Cricetulus griseus: one gene and its partners. The protein of the gene in region 2 purifies or fractionates together with the protein of the main gene of each other region. This does not show direct contact. Links are inferred from orthologs where the notes say so. Each region holds a gene or a part of one and is shown on either strand. Other genes may lie near its edges.

Region 1 (7,684 bases), on a different chromosome or scaffold from region 2:
GCAGGAGGCAATTCTAGATTCTTAGACTCTTTCTCACAAACTAAACCAACATAAAGCTTTTAATCTTTAAAAGGACTCACCTTTTAATTTGTAAGAAAACCCTTTAAAGTCGAACTTGCCAAATGTAATTAGTTTTTTTAAACTTTTGTTTGTTTATTTATTTATTTACTTATGGTTTTTCGAGACAGGGTTTCTCTGTGTAGCTTTGGAGCCTATCTTGGCACTCTCTCTGTAGACCAGGCTGGCCTCAAAATGCAATTAGTTTAAGTGTCAACACTGACGGTATTCTACTGCTTAAAAATGAAAATCTAATGACATTACTAGTTTTGGGGATGGGGTGGGGGAGAAAGGATCTTAAATGCCAGCGCAGGAATCTGACCTGCAGATTTTATAAATGTGCACTCAAAATGGTAACGTGACTATTTAATACTTGAATTAAAGTTACTCCAAAATAAGATGTGTTATAAGATACATATTGGATTACTAATACTTACACACATAAAAAGTTAACATTGCATTAATAATCTTATATCAGTTACATATGAACATGCTATTATTTGGATATAATGAGTTAATACATAGCCTATAAAACATTGCTAGCTTAATTTTACTTCTTTTTAGAATGTGTTGACTACAAAATTTTAAATAATTACATATGTAGCTTCTACTATAGTTCCATTAAACTACTAATCCAGATCTTCAGAAAATCTGTAGCAGAGCTTCTTTAAGACACAAATTCTTTGGAAGGAAGGAAGGAAGGAAGGGAGGGAGGGAGGGAGGGAGGGAGGGAGGGAGGAAGGAAGGAAGGAAGGAAGGGAGAAAGAAATTAATTCTGAATGGGCATGGTGGCATAAACCTTAACCCCAGGACTCAATAAGCAGAGGCAGGTGAATATTTGTGAGTTTCAGGACACTAGGCCTAAATTACAGAGAGACCCTGTCTCAAACACACAAACAAAACACAAATTCTAAGCATAGAAAGAAAGACTATAATTAAGACTTAAGAGCCACATCAAATAATTACAATTTGTGATCATCATCCAGATCTCAAATGACATTAGTAATCTTAAATTGATAATGGTACTATGGTCATATTTTAAAGTCTCAAACATGTTTCCGTAGTGTAGCAGCTATCACATTTGTGTCATGCATATAAAGTCCTGGGTTCAAACCATCTTCTTGCTCATGGTACATGGGTAGACAACTCATTATTAAGAGCAACTGCTGCTCTTGTAGAGGATCTTGGTTTAGTTCCCAACCCCCACACTGTTACTCACAACGATCCATAAATCCAGTTCCAGGGGATCCAACGACCTCTTCTGACCTCGGAGAGCATCAGGCACACACAAGGTACATACACATACATGCAGCCAAAATACTTACACACACAAAATAAAGTAAATAAATATATAAAAGAAGTCTCTGTTCTTTACTGGTAATTATTGACATAGATGAAATGATGTCTGGGATTTAATGCAGAATAATAAGTTCTGGGAGAAAGAAGGCTATGAAGGAGGAAATCAATATATAATTTTTTCTTCTTTTGTTGTATTTGAAGATGTTCATGTTAAAAAGTAACAAAAATGCTAAGAAATATATAGGCACACACACACTCTCATTCTTAGGGATAATTAAGAAAAAGTATTAGAGAGAAATACAAAGTGGCAGAGCATTTGCTACCACATGGGAGACCCTGGGTTCAATCAACACTTGGAAAAAAATTGAGAAAAAAATTCAACAGAATCATTCCCTAAAATTCTGAATGAATTCAGCTTCAGCTCTGTGACTTTATATAAAATCACCACAAAACAGATAATGAAAATTTAATAGAGTCTGTGCTACAACCCATGATGACAATTATTCTTAGAATCAATGCAAAGTTACTGAGCACCTATAATGCATCAGGCAATATACAAAAAACTAATGTTGAGAAAGAAAAGCAGCTCGGAGGAGACTTGATAAGTTAGGGTAGACTGTGAGGCCGTTTACCAAACAGTCAACATATGAAGCACAGAACTGGGAGAAAAGTAAAACCAGCTGAAATATTCTTTGAGTTTTCAAGGCAATAACTAATAAGTGAGATATCTATGAGATACATGGATACTTCTAGATCTTAAGATATACAGAGCTGGCCGGTGGTGGGGCATGCCTGTAATCCCAGCACTCCAGAAGCAGAGGTAGGTGGATCTCTGCGAGTTCATGGCCAGCCTGGTCTACAGAGCAAGTTCCAGGACAGGCTCCAAAGCTACACAGGGAAGCCCTGTCTTGAAAACAAAAACAAACAAAGATGAATAGAGATACAGTCAATATGCATGAAATAAGACTAAACATTATTGTCAATGCTACTCCAACTCATAGGCAACAAGATAGGATATTAAACCTAATTTGGATCTGAGAGAGATGACAGTTCTGGAAGGTAAATAACACAGATCCTATTAGGGGAAGCCTGGGATACAAATGCAGTTGTAATTAATAACAACAACAGAGAGACACCTAAGATGAAGTTAGAAAAGACATAAGGAGACATAGAAAGGCCAGACTGTTAGGAATCATAATGTAAATATTTTTGTGGAGGCAGGCTTGCCAAAGGGGCCATGACCCACAGGTTGAGAACCACTGGTTTAGTATAAAATCTATGCTGTGCATGTTAAAATTTCTTTCCTTTTCACACTGAATAATATTATCTATATTTATGTCACATCTGGGAAGGTTATGTCTACTTATCTGTTGGTGAACATTTGCTTCCATCATTTAGGTATTGTGTGAACAGTGCAGCTATGAAATAGTGTAAAAATATCTGTTCAAATCTCTGCTTTAAATTCTTTTGGGTATATATTTAAAAAAAATCGCTGGGTTATAGGTTAATTCCATATTTATTCCCTTCCTTCTTTGTAGCACACTCACTCATTCCATTTTCCACAGTGGTTAAGTTATATCATTTTACTTTCCCCATATCCTTACCAAGTATTTTTTATAAAAAAGTTATTTTTATATATACAATATATAATTTTTATATATACAATAGTTATAATGGTCTAGAAATGGTATCTCCTAGGCCTGGAGAGATGGCTCAGAGGTTAAGAGCATTGGCTGCTCTTCCAGAGTACCGGAGTTCAATTCCCAGCAACCACATGGTGGCTCACAACCATCCGTTATGAGATCTGGTGTCCTCTTCTGGCATACAGACATACATGCAGGCAGAACACTGTATATATAATAAATAAATCTTTTTTAAAAAAAATGGTATCTCCTTGTTTTGTTTTCGTTTGAGGTGGGTTGAGACAAGGTTGAGACAAGGTCTCATCACATAGCCCCTTTTAACTCTTTGGTAGCCCAAGCTGTTCTCAAGTTCAGTGAGCCTCTTGCCTTGGCCCCCCAAGCTATCCCATCAGCTTCCTTGAGATTTTAATTTGTGTCTCCTGTACTACTAATCATTTCAAACACCTATCTTTTCATTTGCTTGGTAGCCATTTTTATACCATCTTTGGAGAAAAATATGTTCAATTTCCTTACCTACTTTTTCAACAAATTGAGGTGTGTGTTTTTTTTTTTTATGTTGTTGAGCTATATACGTTTTTTTAGTATAGTAACAGCTGTTAAACTCTTTTAAATTTTTAATTATTTTTTAAGTCTGTATGTGTGTACCTGTTCATTTGAGTACAGGTGCATATGTTGAGGTCATCTCAGTGAAACAACAAAATTTGTATTATCAGTTTCCCAAAATTCACCATCTCTACTCACACTTCTAGAAAGACAGCAATTACTAGATGCTCCCATAAAGTATATTTGCCACAATTAGGCAAAGTGAAAAAAAAATCACAGCGATGATGCAGTTAGGACAAACAAAAGTGGTCTTTTCGTTTATCCTCCAATTTAGGTTTTTGACATGACCAGCAGGAGGAAATGAACACGGCTGATATTCCACAGACTTAAGGTTAGCACTGACTTTTCGTGCAACGTTTCTAGTTTAAGAAATCGAAAAGCAATGGTCTCCTGAGAGAGGGAAGCGACGAGGGGCGTGGCAAGCACTAGCTCTTCAGATTGCAACCTGGTTTTCACTAGCCTCTAGGGGTAGACAGACACAAGGCATTTGGTTTTTGTTTTGTTTTTGTTTTTTCCTCCCTCGCCTTTTTGACCTGGCTGGCTCAAGGTCCGCCAGCCTCGGCTTCCCGAGTTCTGGGATGAAAGGCGAGCGACGCTCCGTCAGGCCGGAGAGGGGCGTTTACAAATGGAATACCAACTTAGTTTGGGGGAGCGCTGTGCACGTTACTCTGTGGACCTGGGGCCAGGCCCTCGGATTTCTGACTAAAATAACGGGCCGGTCAACTCGGGGACGGGGTGGGGGTGGGGCCACATCTTTAGGCCGACCGAGCCCTTTTAGCCATTGATTCGCCTCGCTGAGAAGAGGGGCCGTGATTCTGACACAAAACCTAAGCCAATGAACTCCCCCGGCAGCGACGAGAAGGAACAGAACCGAGGGAAGGTTTTCCAGAAGCAAACGAGTGTGCGGCAAACGAGTGTGCGGCAATGACCACAAGAGGCCCTTCACGCGAAGCAGAAACTCGCGTGGGCACGACACGCGCGCTGCACAGCCGCTCGCTGCCCGGCCACCCCGCTTGCACGAAGCACCGCGCTCCCGCCAACGGCCGCTGAGGGGAAAGCGCCCCGCAGGCCGCGGCGCCGGCTGAGGAGACGCGGCGTCCAGCGTCGCGAGGCTGGCTACCACGCGCGGCCCTACCTGCCCAGCTCCCGCAGGGCGGGGATCATGGACGCCAGCTCCAGCCCGTGGTCGCCCATGCTGACACCGTGCGGCTCTCAAAACAGCCGCCGCCAACGTAGGGCTTTCTCCACAGCCTCCTCCGGAGAAAGCGGAGCGCCGACGGGAGCCCGCGCGGGCCAAAACTCCTCCCGGAAGCCGCCGTCGGCCGCGACCCGCAGGCTCTTGTTTCGGTTCCTGTTAGGACCTGGGGGGAATCCCCGGGGCGGCAGGGGCGGAGCCGGCAGCGGACGTGCCCGCCCAATTCTCCTCCCCCCGGAGTGCGTGACCTTCGGCGGGTATTTTTGCTTTGGAGATGCTCGAACCTGGATGCTCAGGGAAGCGGGAGCCCAGGATCTGGGTTGCAGAGGGACCTGACGACGCGACAGTTAAAGTTATACATTTCACTATGTCAGAATTACGTAGTTAACTGCGGAAGGCCACTCAGTAGGGCTTTCATTTGCTGTCTGGCACATAAAGATAATTACTGATACAGCCTCCAAAAATAAAATTAAAAAGTGGTGGAGTGGCAGCCAGGTGTGCTCCAGACTCCAGGATCCGAATTTGCTGTACCTTGACCACTCTTCCCTCTGCGCCTTTTCCTTTAGATATCCCTTGATGAAGTGGCATGAGTCTTATACAGGCCAGTAACATAAACTCGCCCCCCCACACACACACCCCAGCCGACCCCACCCCACCCCCGTCTTCACCTTGTTTTGTTTCTCTTCATAGCACTTAAAACCTAACGACACTGATTGTGTCTTAGAATATAAGGTTTTGAAAACAAGGTCTTTGTTTATTTTGCCTATTGCTGGCACCCCATGAACTGAAACAGTGCCTGGACATAGTTCATGTTTAGTAAACATTTTTAATGAATTATTGAATGTTAGAAAAAACGGGATTAGGAGTTATGAACCCTGAAAAAATTATCATTACACTTGCTAGAAGCTATATGGCCTCAAGAAAGTACTTAATCTCTTTTTATTTCCATTTTTTCTCATATCCCAAGAGTACAGTAATGGTTAAGAGGTAACAAGAGTCAGACAATAGAATGTCATTTATTTCCATTGCTACTTTCCCCTCTTTCTCTTTTCTCCCTCCCTTTGTTTGTTTTTAAGTCAAATTTCACTATGGCTCCCTGGCTGGTCCTGATGAAGAATCCCATTCCCCAGCCTTGAAATGCTGGAATTACAGGTATGAGCCACTACGAATGGCATGATTATACTTCTAAAAGCTTAAATTATAAGTCATTATTCTGGCTACCATTTTTCTTTATTTTTTTATTTGAATTAGAAACAAGATTATTTTACATCAATCCCAGTTCCCTTCTCCCTCCCCTCCTCTCCCACCCCCCCCACCCCCGACTAATACCCTACCTATCATATCCTTTCTGCTCCCCAGGGAGGGTGAGGCCTTCCATAGGGTGTCATCAGAGTCTATCATATCCTTAGGGATAGGGCCTAGGCCCACCCTGTGTGTCTTCGCTCAGGGAGTATTCCTCTATGTGGATTGGGCTCCCAAAGTCCACACCTATGCTAGGGATAAGTACTGAACTACTACAGGAGGTCCTGTAGATTTCCGAGGTCTCCTCACTGAAACCCACGTTCCTGGGGTCTGGATCAGTCCCATGCTGGTATCCCAGCTATCATTCTGGGGAGCAAGAGTTCCCCATTGTTCAGGTCAGCTGTTTCTGTGGGTTTCACCAGCCTGGTCTGGACCCCTTTGCCCATCACTTGTTCTTCTCTGCAACTGGATTCCAGTTCAGTTCAGTGATTCGTTGTGGGTGTCTGGGAAAATGGGAATCAGTCTACCACAAGATCCAGCAATTCCACACTTAGGCATAGACCCAAAAAGATGCACATTCATACAACAAGGACATCTGTTCAATAATGTTCATAGCAGCACTATTTGTAATAGCTAGAACCTGGAAGCAACCTAGATGACCCTCAACTAAAGAATGGATAGAGAGCCGGGCGGTGGTGGCACACGCCTTTAAGCCCAGCACTTGGGAAGCAGAGACAGGCGGATCTCTGTGAGTTCGAGACCAGCCTGGTCTACAAGAGCTAGTTCCAGGACAGGCTCCAAAGCCGCAGAGAAACCCTGTCTCGAAAAACCAAAAAAAAAAAAAAAAAAAAAAAAAAAAAAAAAAATGGATAGAGAAAATGTGGTACATTTAGACAATGGAGTACTACTCAGCAGAAAAAATCAATGGAATCTTGAAATTTGCAGGAAAATGGATGGAACTAGAAGAAACCATTCTGAGCCAGGTAACCCAATCACAAAAAGACAAATGTGGTATGTACTCATATGTGGAATTTAGACATAAAGTATTACCAGCCTACAATCCACACTGCCAGAGAAGCTAGGAAACAAGGAGGACCCTAAGAGAGACATACATGGTCCCCTGGAGAAGGGGAAAGGAACAAGATCTCCTGAGCAAATTGGGAGCAAGGGAGATGGGGGGAAGGAACTAGGAAAATGAGAAGGGGAGAAGAGGAGGGGTGTGGAGGACATGAGGGAGCAGAAAGGTTGAGTTGGGGGAAGAATAGAAGATAACAAGAATGGAGATACCATAATATAGGGAAACATTTTAGGTTTACAGAGAAATCAGGCACTAGGGAAAGGTCTGGAGATCTACAAAGATTATACCAACTAACAATCTAAGCAACAGATGAAAGGCTACCTTAAATGCAACCCCTGATAATGAGTCTTATATGCCATCCTATAGCCTTCATCCAGCAGCTGGTGGAAGTAGATGCTGGCTACTTTTATGTCAACTTGACACAAGCTGGAGTCTGCTGGGAGGAAAGAACCTCAATTGAAAAAATGCACCAACCAGACTGGCCTGTGGAGAAGTCTATGGGTACCTTTACATTCATGTGGGAGACTCCAACTCACTGTGGGTGATGCTGCCTGGGTCTGGTAGCCC
Region 2 (7,684 bases):
AAACCTACAATGTTAGTAAGAATATCTGCCTCATTGAATGACAAGAAGGTGAAATCCGAACTCACTTAGTGCAGCTGATTTTCACTCTTGACTTTTCTTTTGCTATGCTAGGAGTACAAGGAATAGCAGTGTCACCAATCCACACACCCAGCATGGAGTTTGTCACTGGTTTTTCATCCTTGGAAACCAAAGAAAAAAGAACATAAGAGCACCATAAAATAAGTGACCAATACCCCCTCCCCAAGAAAAAGGAGAGGTTGAGAGTAGAGAGGAAGGAGAAGAATTCTGGAGATAGTCACTGGCTGTAAACTGTGATCCATTTATGCCCTCACAAGTAAAGGAGAAATATTCGAGCTTTTAAAAATATTCAAACCACATTTATAAAAACCAGGGTTTGATATACATTCCCTATCAAGTACATTTTGGTGTTATATACACATAAAAGATCATTTCAGTTGTTGTAAGATACTCAAAAAGTAAGTACTACCATCAGAACAGAAAATAAAAATACATTCAGAATTCTTTCTGTAGCACTGACTCCCCAATATTTTCTTATCCTCGATCTTTAAGAACTGGGAGCTCCACTTTGACTTAAATTGAGCACAGAGTAATGTCAGAACTGACTAGAGACTTTAAGGCATGGTCAAGGCTAAAGCTAAGAATGGGGAAACAGAAAAACTTCAAGTAGGAAGTTATCTTAGAGTAGGATGGTTTTCTTGTTTTGATTTTTGCTGTATTTTTCAGTTCCTCAATCACAATGATAGTTATGGAATGAGCATTATTATAAGCCAGCAGTTCTCAACACATGGGTTGCAACCTTTGGCAAACCTCTATCTCCAAAAACATTTAGGCTTCCTAGCAGTAGCAAAATTATGAAGTAGCTATAAAGATAAATTTAGGGGCGAAGGTCAGCACAAAATGAGGAACTGTTTTAAAGGGTTGCAGGACTAGGAAGCTTGAGAACTACTATTAAAAGATCATACAAAGTTTAAAAATGGCCTTATTACTAGATTACAAGTTATTCTAACTAGAGCTTAGAATTTACAACGGTGAGTATAAAATCATACTGGGCCAGGGAGACGGCTCAAAGGATAAAAACAAATTGTTCTCTGACCTTTACAAAGTGTGTGCATGCATACATCCATGAAAAATGAGACTTTAAAAAAAAAGTGCCGTTTTATAGTTTTATATTTTCTTACTTAAAGGTTTTAGTGAAAACATCTCTACAATTTGGTAGTGAATTAACAAGTAGTTTTCTTAATGCACACCCAAATCTACTTAACTTTAAGTTTGCAAAATAATATCAGTTCATTTTACAAACTAGATATTTTCCCATTTGTTTGAACACTCTTTCAAATAACGATTTAATTATGGAATCTGTCCATTTACAAGTAAATTAAATTTATACAAGTTTCAAAAAGTCATGACAAAGTTACGTGCCCACTCAAGTTTATATACCAGGAATCCTCTATATATTTATGTACTACTTGTAAGGGCTTCTTTTAATTTACAGGCTCCTAAGTAAATCCTTGGTGCCATCAAGTTGTCTAATCCTTCAACTGATAATAATGAGCACCCTGTATAGTTATATATATGGTGAAAGATATCACCTTAAACACAGCGCATGTTATCACTACAGAAAATGGGATGTCTGTCTAATATGCAAATGTGTATCTTAGAAAATTAAAACTGAAACCATTAGGAGGAAATTGAATGATCTGAAGATCACTATGAAAATCTCAAGTATTTGTAATTATGAGTATGACACTTTTCAAAAGATCTTAATGCTGCCAACAATTAACCTGCTTTAATAATGCTCAGTAGGAGAAGACTGAATAAACTAATCCCAACGTAATGTTCAGTGACTCAAGCTACCACTTGAGTGCTCTTGCCATTTCTTCACAAGAGATACTATTTCCAGCCCGTTTAGTAAAGGTGTCAACTGTACACTCAACATTTTACCGCTAGGCAATCTGACCAGCCTAAAGCTATTTTCTGTGCTTCTTTGCTTTAGTTAATGAAGATTTACTGTTAACATACAAAGTAGTAATATTATACCGTAAATGTAGTTCACGAAATTAAGTGTTGATATAATGAATCATACCAAGAGAGTGGAAGGAGAACTCACTCTTCCAAGTTGTCCTCTGACCTCCACACATGCTGTTGTACAAAAGAGAGTGCATGCTCATGTGTGCGCACACACACACTTTTAAAAATGTAAAAATAAACTAAGTAAGGAAAAGAAAGAAAAGAAACTCAGAACAGTTATGTTCTGGACCATGCTTCTTACTAACAGTGTCAAGATAATACCAGGAATGATAGTTAACTGGTTTCCTTTGTATTAAATGATTCACTAAAACTTGTATTTCACTCAAACATCACAAAAGTTAAAGAAAAAAAAATCTTTGAAGATGGGTCTATTAAAATAAATCATAATTAATTTATAGCACTCTATAGTTTGTAAATTTCATATAACTTAACCCTAATAATCCACTGAAGACAGTAAGGCAGGTAATAATTCTACTTTATAGTAAAATGAACTGAGGTTATGACCATTAACTGACACATGGTGGGGGTGGGGGGTGTTGGGTCATAGAAGAGGCTGCATTAGTTAGGCCTGTATCTAAGCCCAGTGACCTTTCCAGTTTTAAACTTTGTCTTGGTGATTTTATAAGCCAGTGAATACTAGTAAGAGCAACTGCAACAGGAAAAATATGTACTATAGACAGCAAGCACTAACAACAAGAACTTAAATTTACATTGTTTGTTCTACTATACAACTTACTCAAAATATAATGTGGAAAACGCAGCTTGGTGGTAAATACATTAAAGACAACAAAAATAAAACTAGTCAATTACTACTCCAAGAGAATCAAAACAAAATATCTACTTGTATCTGCAGGTTCCACATCTAACCAAAAGTGTACTAAAAATATGGGACATATACAGGCATTTTCTTTTTAATATTCCCCCAATAGTACAGCATAACAAATAACTATTTTATCTAAGGAATAAATAACCTAGAGATGACTTAAAGTATATGGGGTGGGCTGGAGGCATAGCTCATGATAGAGTACTTGCCTAGCAGAAGTGAGTTTGAGCTCCAACACTGCAAAGAATAAAAATAAATAAATACAGTATATGGGAGGATATGAACAGGCACTATGAAAAACCATATCATTTTATGTACAAAACTTCAGAATCTGCAGACTTTGGTATTCATTCTATAATTCGTTCCATATTTTTCAAGACATTCATTCAGAAACAGAAAGGCTAGCTGTAACCTTTGTTGCTCTAAATACATATTTTGAATATGAAAGGAAACAAGCATGCAGTTATAAATCATGAAACTTGCTGTCTTTACCTGAGGAGCAATACGATTGACAATATGCGAAATCTCATCAGTGTATGTACTGGAAATCTGCTTTTTTCTTCCTTTCCCTAAAGAAACAGACATTTCTATAAATCTTAGACCAAGAATTTTAAAATCAGTTGTTACTTTTTAGAGAATGATTGTAATCGATGTAACTTAAATCACTCTGCACTAATGTGCAAATTAGAGAGAAAAATCATACCAGATTCTCAAAAAAAGAAAAACAAAAAAAACCCACTGTATTGAAGTTTCCGATGTTACCCGACTAAAATTTTACAATCACTAACCTTCATCAAACATTTAACCACATAAAAATCTTAACAGATTACCTAACTGTTTGGTGATTGGAGAATTTTGATCCCAGAAGATATCGGTCTGTCCATCTGGATCATTTGGGGAACTGAAGGCACAGGACAATAAATCTGTTTTCAGAACTCTTGTTGGTGTTTCATACTTTTCTATATAAAATGACAATTGACACATTTTAAGCATTACTTCACAAGAGCCAAAGTCAGATAGCAGCTTAAATTATTTTTTATGTCCAATATAAAACTTGTCTCTTAAAGACAATTACTTTAACCACAATAGAAAGATTTCAATAAAAATAATGCGTTGATATTTCATAGTATTAGTATTTTTTTAAAGATTCCATGGTCCCAGGAATGATACCACCTGATCATTGAATTACTAATACATTGCAAACCTCAAAATGTATCCAAACTGAAGCCCTCGACTCTTTTAAGCCCCTCCTGTCAACTCTACCCAAATTTTATACTCTAATGAACTACTCCCCAAAACATCAGTGATTTGCTTCTAGTTTCTAGGGAAGTTTTTGTCTAGAATCATTTAAAATTTTACGATGTTATTGTTTTCTCAGACTTGTTTTGTCATAGCAGAGGCAGGCAAGGTGACAGAAGTTGTAATTTAAGAACACGCTCTCGGAAAGGTTATCAGTCGGCTACCTATTAGGTTAATAATCTTCAAAATCTAACACCAAAAGTTATCAGAAAGGAACGCGCCATTAGTTTGCTATTCTAACCGGATGTTATTCCTAGCAAGTTCCGGGAGCAAATAGCTTTGAGGTGACCCTTTAGCAAAACAATGAAAAAAAAAAAGAGAAAAGCTTAGTTGACCAATGGCCCAGGGTGGTCCAAGGCACAGGCCCCGCCCAGAACCAGTCAACCAGAAAACAACCAACGCCGCCAGTTCCCGGGGACTCCGCTCTGCAGCCTAAGCCTCCCGCCCCTCCGACGCCTGGGCTGAGCTCCACTCCTTCTCCTCAGCACCCGCCAGCCCGGGGCTCCGCTCCCCGCCCGCCGTCCCCTCACCTCCGGGGCTCCGCCCGCCGTCAGCCGCCCACCGGCGCTGCTCCCGCCGCAAAGGCCGCGCTTCGGCCCTGCAGAGCCGGGAGTCGCGGGGCCTGGAGCGGCGGGACTCCGTCTCCACCGCCGGGCAGCCGTCCTCGGCAGCCGCCTTGCGCGGCGTGCTCCTCCTGGCAGGGCTGCCCGCATGCTTCCTTCGCCGACTCATCCCGGTGGCACCCTCCTCCAGCCGCATTCACATTCCGGTGCCGGGGAGCTGTGAAACGGCTCCGCACACAGCCTGCGCGCCAACACACACCGCCATCTTCGCAAGCAGGGCGCGCAAAAGACGCTGCCGCTGATTGGCTGCGTCTGTCTAGGGGCAGGGTTACGAGCCTGACGATGATTGGCTGCGGGATTGAGGGGCGGGATTTCGGAGGCTACCTTCAGTGCTCGGGGCCGAGGCAGTTCCAGCTAGGAAGCTTCCTCTGTGGAAGGTCTGCAGCTTCACTGGTTTAGGAGGGATTGCAAAAGTCTTCTCTAGATAAGTGGTTGGGAGGTAGTAAAGAGGTCCAATGCAATGGCAGATTTTTACTGAGTATACAGCATACATTGGCTGGTTTTGTGTGTCACCTTGACACAAGCTAGTCATCAGAGGAAGGAACCTCAGTTGAGGAAATGGCCTTGACATCTAGCTGTAAAGAAGGCATTTTCTCATTTAGCGATCGACGGTGAAGGGACCGCCCCTTGGTTGGTGGTGCCAAACCTGGGCTGCTGGTCCCGGGTTCTACAAGAAAATGGACTGAGCAACCTAGGGGAGGGTTGCTCCCATTTGGGTTCCTGCCCTGTTTGAGTTCCTGTCCTGACTTCATTCAGTGATGAACAGCAATGCTGAAGTATAAGCCAAATAAACCCCTTCTTCTCCTTGCTTTTTGGTCATGGTGTTTCATTGCAACAATAGAAACCCTAACTGAGACACAACTTAAATTGTGTATTTCCAAGATTGATATGATGGTATGTTATTCGGTAATTTGATTTAAAAAAAAGGGGGGGTATATTTTTGGAGGGAATAAAAATGACAGCTCACAGATATGTTATGTGGGTAGAAAAATCCAAAATGTAGGAAAACTTACTAATTTTTAATAAACTAACGGTTGCTGAAAACTGTCCTCTCAATGGGAATAAGGCAGCATTTAATTTGAACGAAATAATTATCATGGCCAGGGAGCTTGATTCAGGTTATCCTGAAAAAACATGTCTCAACATAAAAGGATTTACACAAGCTTTAACAGTCACAGAACAAAACAAAGGAAGTGTTTCTCAGACGCTTTGTTGGGGACAATAGGAGATAGGCGGGTTAGAGCAAAGCAGGGGATAATTTTCCATGGGCTGTAGGTAAGGATAGTTAATAATGTATTCCAAAGGTTTTACCTGATAGACAACAGGATGTTAAGCCTGACGGAAAGCTGGGCAATTTGTGGCTAGTTAGGACACTAATGATAGGTGTAAAGATTATTTGGTTTTATATCTACACCATTCCAGTTATCCTCATCACAGAGTGTGTCCATGTTTTTTTTTTTTTTTTATGACAATGTCTTATGTAGCACAGTCTGCACCCCTTATATAATGCAGTCTGCCTTTGAACTCCTCGTCTTCCTGCCTCATCCTTGCTTGTGCTAGAATCGATCACAGGTGTAGGCCCCTAATCAGTCAGCCTTTTAGAATCAATGTAGGTATGGCCTTTTTATTCTATTCCCAATACAAAGTGAAACTCAAGTGTCAGTTGTACTTTAGTAGATTAGTAATGAACAAAGTTCTAAGTTTTAAGAGAATATGATTTGCAATAAATAGTGAAATTAAAGAGTGCAGCTCTACATACAGAGAGAACTATAAAACACTTTGAAATAAACTGAAGAGCAAAATAGGTTATGCTGTGTTCATGGCTGTATCACCATTATTACAGGGCCAGTTCTTCCCAAATTTGTCTAGAGTCAGCACTGATGCCTTAGACTCTCAGAACAGGGTGATGCATGCAGAAAGGGAAGATAGCTTTATTCTAAGGTATGCATGTAAGTGAAAATGAAAGAAGATAACCAAGAAACTATTGGTCTCCTGAAGAATAATGAATGATAAAGTTGGATATCTCCCAAGTGTCATGAGTTAGAGCAGTTAAGAGTTAGGATGGCATTCTAGTGGTGAAGGGATAGACAAATAAATGAATAGAATAAATAGCCCTTCCACAGGTTTCCACATAAATATAGCTTGTTTAATACAAATGTGAACCATCTGAATAATAACAAAAGGACTTTGGGGGAAAATACTACAACCAGATGGAATGGTGGACCACACATGTAACCCTCCCAGCACTCAGGAGGCTGAGGCAGGAGAATTGAGAATTTGGGCCATCTGGGTTACACTGAATGATTTTGTCTCAAAAAAGAAAAATATTAAGTAAAAACTTATACATATGTGTGTGTGTGTGTGTGTGTGTGTGTGTGTGTGTGTGTGTGTGTGTTATATGTATACACACATATAGTTTGCATCAATATAATTCAAACATTTAACAGAGTTCAAAGGTAGGGCCTTGGCGACATGTTTGGATCATGGGGCCTCAGGCTCAGTGAGTGGATTAACCTACCATCAGGTTTATAATTTGAAGGCATTGTTGGGAGATGATGAAAATAGGAGATGGAACCTTTTTGGATGAAGTAGGTTTACGGGACATGTGTTTGAATGATGTAGCTATTGTGCCCCTCTCCCCTCTGCCATGATGTTCAGCCTCCTTTCCCCAACAGTGGAACCTGCTAACTATGATTTGAAACTATGAGTCAAAAATAAAGCCTTCCCCTTTTAAATTGTTTCTCTCTGGTATTTTTTATCAGAGTAACAAAACCTCTAATTTAGGCCCATATATAAAATGTATTAAGAATGTCTTGGTAAGAAGATAGAAGGGGCAGTGCTTAGAACAGGGCCTTCAGAATAGAAATATATAAACAAAGATGCTCAATCA
Region 3 (7,684 bases), on a different chromosome or scaffold from region 2:
ACACACACATGATAGCTTCCAACTGTCTGCAACCCCAGCCCAGGGGATCTGATGCCACTGTGGGCACCAGGCACATCCATACACAAAAAATAAGATTTATTTATTTATTTATTTATTTGAGACAGGGTCTCTCTACATAACACTGACTGTCTTGAAACTCACTTTGTAGATCAGGCTGGTCTTGAATTCACAGAGAGCCACCTGCCTCTGCCTCCCAAGTGCTGAGATTAAAGGTTGTGCTCCCCTATGTCTGACTTAAATAATAGGTTTGGTTGTTATTGTTGTTTTTAAAAATAAACAGAAATATATATTTTCAGCAGTGGCTCACAGACCTTCCCTGCTTTCTGACTACTTTTCTGAACGGTACCTCAAAAGGTATAACTTTTAACAAGACATGGTGCTGCGAGCTTTTCATCTCAGCACTTGGGGTGCAGAGGCAGGCAGAGCCTGTGAGCTTGGGGCCAAGCTGGTCTAAATGGGGAGTTCCAACCCAGCCAGAATTACATACTGAGACCTTCTCTTCTAAAGTGAGTGTTTGTGTCTCCCCCCCTCCCTCTGCCCCTCTTTTTTGCTTTTTCAGGACAGGGTTTCTCTGCATAACAGCCCTAGCTGTCCCGGAACTCATTCTGGAGACCAGGCTGGCCTCTGCCTCCTGAGTGCTGAGATTAAAGGTGTGCACTACCACTGCCCAGCTATATATAATGTTTTAAAATTACGTTCATTTATTTTTCAAATGTGTGTGGCATGGTGTGCATGTGGAGACAGGACAACTTTCATGAATTGGTACTTATTGAGGCAGAGCCCCTTACTGTTTTTGCAGTTCAGCGAGCTCCAGCCTATCGAGCGCCGAAGCTTCTCTTTTGGCCTCCTATCTTGCCACAGGAGAGCTGAGATTACAGGTGTGTCATTGCAGCCCACTTTTTGCATATTCAGGATTTAGAACTCAGGTTGTCAGGCTTGCTCCTCATGCCCTCTATTTCTTCTGGCCAATAAACATTTCTCCTCCTCCTCCTCCTCCCCCCCCCTCCTCCTTCTTCCTCTGTGAAACCCTGGCTGTCCTGGAACTCACTCTGTAGACCAGGCGCCACCAATGCCCAACTCCCAATAAACACTTTTACAAACAAGTGAACAAATAGACTGGAGGGATAGCTCAGGGCTTAAGAGAGCATGATGCTCTTACAGATCTAAGTTAGGGTTGCAGAATCAACATGGCAATTGCCTGAGGAAAACTGCCTGTAACTCCAGCCCTAGGGGAATCTCCAGACCTCCTCTGACTCTGAAGGAACCTGAACTCAAGCACATACTACACAAGGACACATAGTTTTTAGGAAACTAAACAAAAAGTCTCTCTAGCAGGTTTTAGACCATGGTGTGTGATCCATATGAAGAATAGTTAAGTCACAGGGAAGGATGAACCCTGTAATCAGGGAGGGACACAGAGCTGGGGGAGAGGAGAGAAGGCAGGACATCTTTTTAAATGTGGCCATGAATGAGGTTTCTTTCTTTCGTTTTTTCCTTTTCGTTTGTTTTGCTTTTTTCAAGACAGGATTTCTCTGTGAAGACCTGACTGTTCTGGAACTCACTCTGTAGATAAGGCTGGCTTTGAACTCTGCCTACGAGTACGAGGATAAAAGGTATGTGTCATCACCACCCAGCTTAGGTTTCTTTCTTTAAAACACACATGTATGTGTATGCCCCTGGCTACGTGTGTGTGTGTGTGTGTGTGTGTGTGTGTGTGTGTGTGTGTGTGTGTGTGTAGGGTATAACTCTTGGGACATGTGAGATAACAGCCTGACTCCATTCTAACATTAGAAGCTATTCCTGTTTTCTGTAAAACTTAAATGTTTACCAGGTCTTGACCCATTTTCTGGAATTTGACATGTTCCACACCCTAATCTCCACCCTGATAAGATGTCCTGCCAAATAATTTTGGAATATTCAGCCAAGTTCCTATATAACCAAAGTTCCTCTGAAAATCTTGCAGGTTTAGGGGGCTATATAAACCTCACCTCCTCCTGTGTTCTGTACTATTTTCTCAAGCCCCTCTTAGGGAGATAGCCCTGACCGAAAATAACGCTTGCTTAACTTGACCAAAGATTTTGGGTAATGGTCTTTACTCTCATTTGGTGGGATTAACAGTTAAGCCTGTCCTACTATGAAGGTCCCAGGGCTCCACGTCAGATAGTTTGACTTGCTGAGCCATCTTGCTGGCCTCCGTGAAGTTTCTTACAGGCTAAATGGAGACAATCATGTGGCTGTACAGGGAACATTTTCATTTATTTTATTTAATTTTTTGAGGCCTGGAATTAGCTATATAGACCAGGCTGGACTCGAACTCACAGAGATCCTCCCATTTCAGCCTCCTGAGTGCTGAGAGTAAATCGCCACACCTGGAGAGTTTTAATTTTTTTCTGGGGGTGAGGTGCCTGGAGAGACAGTCATGGGTGCTGGGAATCCAACTCTTATATTTTTGGTTGTAAGCCTAGCTTTTAACAGCTGAGCCATCTCTCTAGCACAGTTTTCATTTCTTATAGAAATTAACTGTAAGCATTAAGATGGATCAGATGGACAGGGATTCTGGCACAGAATACTGAGTGTTATAAGACAGATGGAAAGGTATTCTGGTAATCGGGAGTCAAGGAATACCACAGGTCACAGTAAGCATAGCTGCTTACAGCTCTGCTTCAGGGAAAGGCTTCCCAGTGTATCAGCTCTGCTCTGGAAGGAGAGAGTCCTCGGCTCCAGCAGGAGATGGTTTCTGCTGTGAAGTTGTTACAGTTCCACTCGGGTCCCCTGGAGAGCCGAGTGTAACAAGTCCACTTAGACCTGCTCCGCTCTACTCTGCTCTGCTCTGGGTGCAAAGGTCTCACCCAAACCATATTCAGGAGATTTGCTGGGAGGGAAGAATGTGGGAGAGTGGCTGCCGCGCAGAAGGCAGCAGCAATAAGATGGACAGACACAGGGTTTATGTAGGGATTCTTGAGGGGGGGGGGCAGAGCTTTTCCAGGGTGGGGATTGTTCAGATTTCAATCCCTGAGCTCAGACTGCTGCATCTCCTGCTCAGGGATTGGTTAGTTTTCCGACCAGGTTTAAGGTCAGATTTGGCTTTGTTTTCAGAGCCAAAGTGTGTTCACTTCACTGGTCCTTTTAGCCTTTTGGCTCTAGTTTTAGGGCCAGGATGCATTTCTTTCACTGGCTCTGATTCCAGGGACATCTTTGGCTGGCCCATTTTCCCTACAATAACCCCACGAGGTCCTGGCTGACCTGGAACTCAAGAGATCTCCAGCCTCTTGACTCTGGATTACAGGTGTATGCTACCAGGCTCTTCCTAACTGGGGGTGGAGCAGCAGTACTGTGAATTTCGGAGGTGTGCACACTGCGTGTCACCACGGAGCACCAACGTCGAAAGCATGACTTGCACCACAGCAACTAAATCTCAGCATCTAAATCTCCCGCCAAACGGCAGTTTGGCGGGAATAGCGGGTTGACGAACATGGGAAATGATGTAACAGTCGCGCACTTGATAAGGGTAGTTTTATACGCCCCGGAAGCGTTGTTTTAATTGGTTGCTTTCTTGAAAACGGTCCTATCGGAGTTTTGCCCTCAGTAAAGGTGGCGGCTCAGGCTTCCGTCCCTTCTTGGGGCCGTGCGTTTTTCTGCAGCGGGTCTCCGATACCAGAAAACGCGGAAGAGTCGTGGGTTCTGATTGGCCGAAGCGAGATGTATCTTGGGCGCTGATTGGCTCGCCTTTCGCGGGAAGGAGTTTGTGGCGCCAGTGTAAAGTAGATACAACACCGGCACGCCTGAGCGCCCAACAGTTGTGAGGTGTTCGTCGAGCCGTCCGGACCGGGGTTTCTTGGGCCTCTCTCTCTCTCAGGAAAGCAGCGACCAGGATGTGGAATAGTAATGGCGGGCGAGCGGGGGAGGAGGCCGCGAGCCGCGCGAGGGAGTCGGGAGTGGGCGAGTGTCGCGCGGAGGGGGCAGGGCCGCCGAGAGGCCCGAGGTCCGAGCGGCGGCGTTCGAGGGGTCGGGGAAGGCGGGCGGCGGGGCCGCGGCGGGGGACGCAGGCGCTAACAACTGTCGTTCGCAACCAGGCGGGTTCGAGAGCTTCGGCGGCGGCTCCAGCTATGGCGGAGCGGGCGGCTACACGCAGTCCGCCGGCGGCTTCGGCTCGCCCACACTGTCTCAGGCAGAGAAGAAATCGGTACGCGGAGTGACCGCCCCGTCCCTGAGAGAACGTGTTTTTGTGGGGGAGGGTGGCACCCTCGAGCTTGTCCCGGACCTGTCCGTTATCTAGCCTGTCTCTAGTACGGTGAAGTGTGTTCTTAAAAAAAAAAAAAAAGCTAAATTGTGTGGCAAGTGTGCTGTGGTTTGCCGGGCCTCACCTCTCCTGCTCGTACCACGCGACACTGCTTTTTTTTCTTATTTTTTTGAGACAGCATTTCTCTGTGTAGCCTTAGCTGTCCCGGAACCGGCTCTGTAGACCAGAGGTCCTTCTGTCACTGCCTCCCTAATACTGGGGTTAAAGCGCCACCACCACCACCCGGCTGGAAAAGTATGCTTTAGCAGACTTAAATGTCCCGGTCGTCAGCCCTCAGGCCACGGTTGGGACTACCAAATCCCGGAAGGGCAAGAGCCTGCTGTGTTGAGAACAGATTTTAGGTTATTTCCTGTTGATATTTAACAGGAAGGACACTGTCTATAATCTGCTGTGCTTTGGCTGCCTTGTACATATTGCTTGTATGAGACTGAGAGTTTGGGGGGTTGGTTTTTTTTTTTTTTTTTTTTTTTTTTGAGACAGGCTCACAGTGTAGCCCTGCCTGACCTGGAACTCAGAGATCCCCTGAGAACTCTTGACTCTGGTGCTGGGATTAAAGGTGTATGCTGCCAGGCTCTTCCTAACTGGCGGTGGAGCAGCAGGTAGTCCTGCCACTAACGGAATACTTGCCTTTTATCTGTAGTGACTGTTCTTTGTTCTTTACTTTTTGCTTTATTTTTTTGAGGTGTGGTGTGAAATGTTTCTGAGATCCCAATAGGGCATTTCATTCTGTATTGTATCAGGATGAGGTTTGTTATTTACATTAGTGCTTCTGGTAAGTCAGAAATAATGTCAAGTTGAAGGCATGTCTTTTGTGATGTTTTGTTTTAGTTTCGAGACAAGTTTCCACTAATCTATCTGTGGGTGGCCTGGAACTTATTATATGTAGATCACAGGTGCATGCCACTCTGTTCAGCAACTCTTTTTTTTTTTTTTTTACATGTGTATGTATTTTTCTGCAGTCCAAACTGGCTTTGAACTCCCTCTTCCCAAGTGTTGAGATTACAGACATACATCACTGTAGTTCCGTGGATTCTCAGGACTTTGTGCATGTTAATGCACTCTACTGCCTGGGCCGCATCTCCACCTCCTTTCCCTCATTCCATGTCTATCTGTCTTCCTTCTGTTTTTCTCCTGGCAGTACTAGGCAAAAATGTAAGGTCTGTATTCATTAGGCAGGTGCTGCACCCCATCTTCATCTCCCCTTTTACTTTATTGCTTGCTTGTTGATTATTTTGGAGGGGCAGGAAAGATGATTCAGTGATTAAGAGCACTGGCTGCTCTTCTGGGGGACCTGGGTTTGATTCTGGCATCCAGACGGCATCTCACAACCATCTGTAACTACAATCCCAGGGGATCTGGCATTCTTCTAGCCTGGTCAGACACCAGACTTACACATGGTGTACGGACACATGTGGGCAAAGCACCTATACATTGTGTTACCCTTCTGAGTAAAGTTAACACTGATGTGTGGAAGTACATACCTTTCTATAATCTCAGAATTTGGGAGGCAGACGCAGGTGGGTGGATCTCTGAGTTTGATGCCACCCTGGTATATACACAGAGGAATCTCAAAAAAAAAGTTACATTGCTGGTAGACTGCTCTGAGAGGTAGTTTGAGTCTGTTCACTAAATGCTCTTCTGCCCATTCTATCTTATTCTTCTTCCTTTTAAAATGGCCTGCGAGGCTATACTCACCCCATTTTCTACAGGGACTGCCATCTATTTTATCAGGAAACTTAGAGGATCTCCTAAGTTCCTTTTCTGCTTATCATTTCTCAGGTCTTTTCCCAAAACACCTCAGTGGTGTCCTTACTATAACAGCTTGTTCTTACTATATTTGGAATATGGGTGTGTGGGTGTGTGTGTTTTGGAGACTGTCCTGGAACTCTCTTTGAAGACCAGCCAGGCTGGCCTCGAGCTCACAGAGATCCTCCTGCCTCTGCCTCCTGAGTGCTGGGGTTAAAGGTGTGCACCACCACTGCCAGGCTGGATATGTTCTTTTTACCCCACCCAGAGACAGGGTTTCTCTGTGTAGCCTGGAACTCATGCTGTACACCAGGCTGGTCTTGCAGCCTATGTTGTCCTGCCCCTAGTCTGACCATCTCTTTGTGAACCCACACTATAATACAAATATCTCTTCACCTGGAGTTCTGGCATCTGATCAGTGTAATGATTTGAATTTAAAAGGGTGGCATTTGCCATGTGTAATGGCATACACTTTGAATCTTAGCACTTAGGCAGCAGAGGCAGGGGAATCAAATGCACTATCAGTTAATTTTCTGGCCTTGTTTTCTGTCTCTGACATAAGGAGAATTTGCTTTTGAACATTCGGTGTTGTGTATTTGCACCAAGCATTTAAATACACAACACTGTATGTTCAAATACTTGGTGCATAGCAAATACTAAATGAACCATGTTATCTGTAGGGTTGACTGTTTGCATACTTTTCCTTTTCAGAGAGTCCGATCCCAGCACATTGTGCCCTGTACCATATCTCAGTTGCTTTCTGCTACTCTGACTGATGAAGTGTTCAAAATTGGGAATGTTGAGATTTCACAGGTATTTAAGATTGCTTGGAAGAAATGCTTAGTGATAAGAAATAAGGGGTTGTAAAGATGGCTGTCCAAGCATGAGGACCAGAGATCAGATCCCAATATCCATGTAGAAAACCAGGCTTGATTGCGATTACTCTTGTGCCTGTAACCACAGAACTGTAGGAGTCAGAAACAGGAAGATATGATCCCTTGGACATGCTAGCTCTAGGTTTAATGAGAGACCCTTCTTAAGGAAGGGAAGAAAGCCAACAGTGCTAGACCTGAACACCCAGTGTCCTCAAGCCTTTGCAAGGGCTTGGCACAGTATTTTTTATTTTTTTTGTTTTTTTTTTTTTTTTTTCAAAACAGGGTTTTATCTGTGTAATAGCTCTGGCTGTCCTGGAACTCACTTTTTGGACCAGGCTAGCCTCCAACTCTTGTTTGCCTCCCCTGTCCTGGAATTAAAGACTTGAGCCACCATGCTTACTCCCCCCCACCCCATTTTTTCTTTATTATTCTTTTGGCTCTTTGGGGTGCCTGCCACCTACCTCCCAAATAAATAACACACAGATTTCTTGTTACTTATGAATATCCCTTCTTAGCTTGGCCTGTTTCTAGCCAGCTTTTCTTAAATTATCCTATCAATCTTTTGCTTCTGGGCTTTTACCTTTTGCTATTTCTTTTTTTGTTTTGTTTTGAGACATGGTTTCTCTGTAGCTTTGGAGGCTTCCTGGAACTAGCTGTTGTAGACCAGGCTGGCCTCGAACTCACAAAGATCCACCTGCCTCTGCCTCTGCCTCCGCAGTGCTGGGATTATAGGTGTGAGCCA

The links.
Region 1: the proteins of Etaa1 (region 2) and Atr purify together in Homo sapiens (affinity purification with western blotting; 3 studies listed by BioGRID, with this or other methods). This does not show direct contact. The link is inferred for Cricetulus griseus from reciprocal best matches to the Homo sapiens genes ETAA1 and ATR.
Region 3: the proteins of Etaa1 (region 2) and Rpa2 purify together in Homo sapiens (affinity purification with western blotting; 4 studies listed by BioGRID, with this or other methods). This does not show direct contact. The link is inferred for Cricetulus griseus from reciprocal best matches to the Homo sapiens genes ETAA1 and RPA2.

The regions. Positions count from the first base shown.
Region 1 is NC_048597.1:204,495,255-204,502,938, reverse strand, and holds the start of Atr (serine/threonine-protein kinase ATR), read right to left. Parts: upstream 4,797-7,684; coding exon 4,738-4,796; intron 1-4,737. UniProt on the Homo sapiens protein: Serine/threonine protein kinase which activates checkpoint signaling upon genotoxic stresses such as ionizing radiation (IR), ultraviolet light (UV), or DNA replication stalling, thereby acting as a DNA damage sensor.
Region 2 is NW_023276807.1:88,415,465-88,423,148, reverse strand, and holds the start of Etaa1 (ewing's tumor-associated antigen 1), read right to left. Parts: upstream 5,030-7,684; 5' UTR 4,931-5,029; coding exon 4,702-4,930; intron 3,832-4,701; coding exon 3,703-3,831; intron 3,442-3,702; coding exon 3,365-3,441; intron 179-3,364; coding exon 66-178; intron 1-65. UniProt on the Homo sapiens protein: Replication stress response protein that accumulates at DNA damage sites and promotes replication fork progression and integrity.
Region 3 is NC_048595.1:20,504,839-20,512,522, reverse strand, and holds the start of Rpa2 (replication protein A 32 kDa subunit), read left to right. Parts: upstream 1-3,744; 5' UTR 3,745-3,893; coding exon 3,894-3,903; intron 3,904-4,094; coding exon 4,095-4,204; intron 4,205-6,778; coding exon 6,779-6,880; intron 6,881-7,684. UniProt on the Homo sapiens protein: As part of the heterotrimeric replication protein A complex (RPA/RP-A), binds and stabilizes single-stranded DNA intermediates that form during DNA replication or upon DNA stress.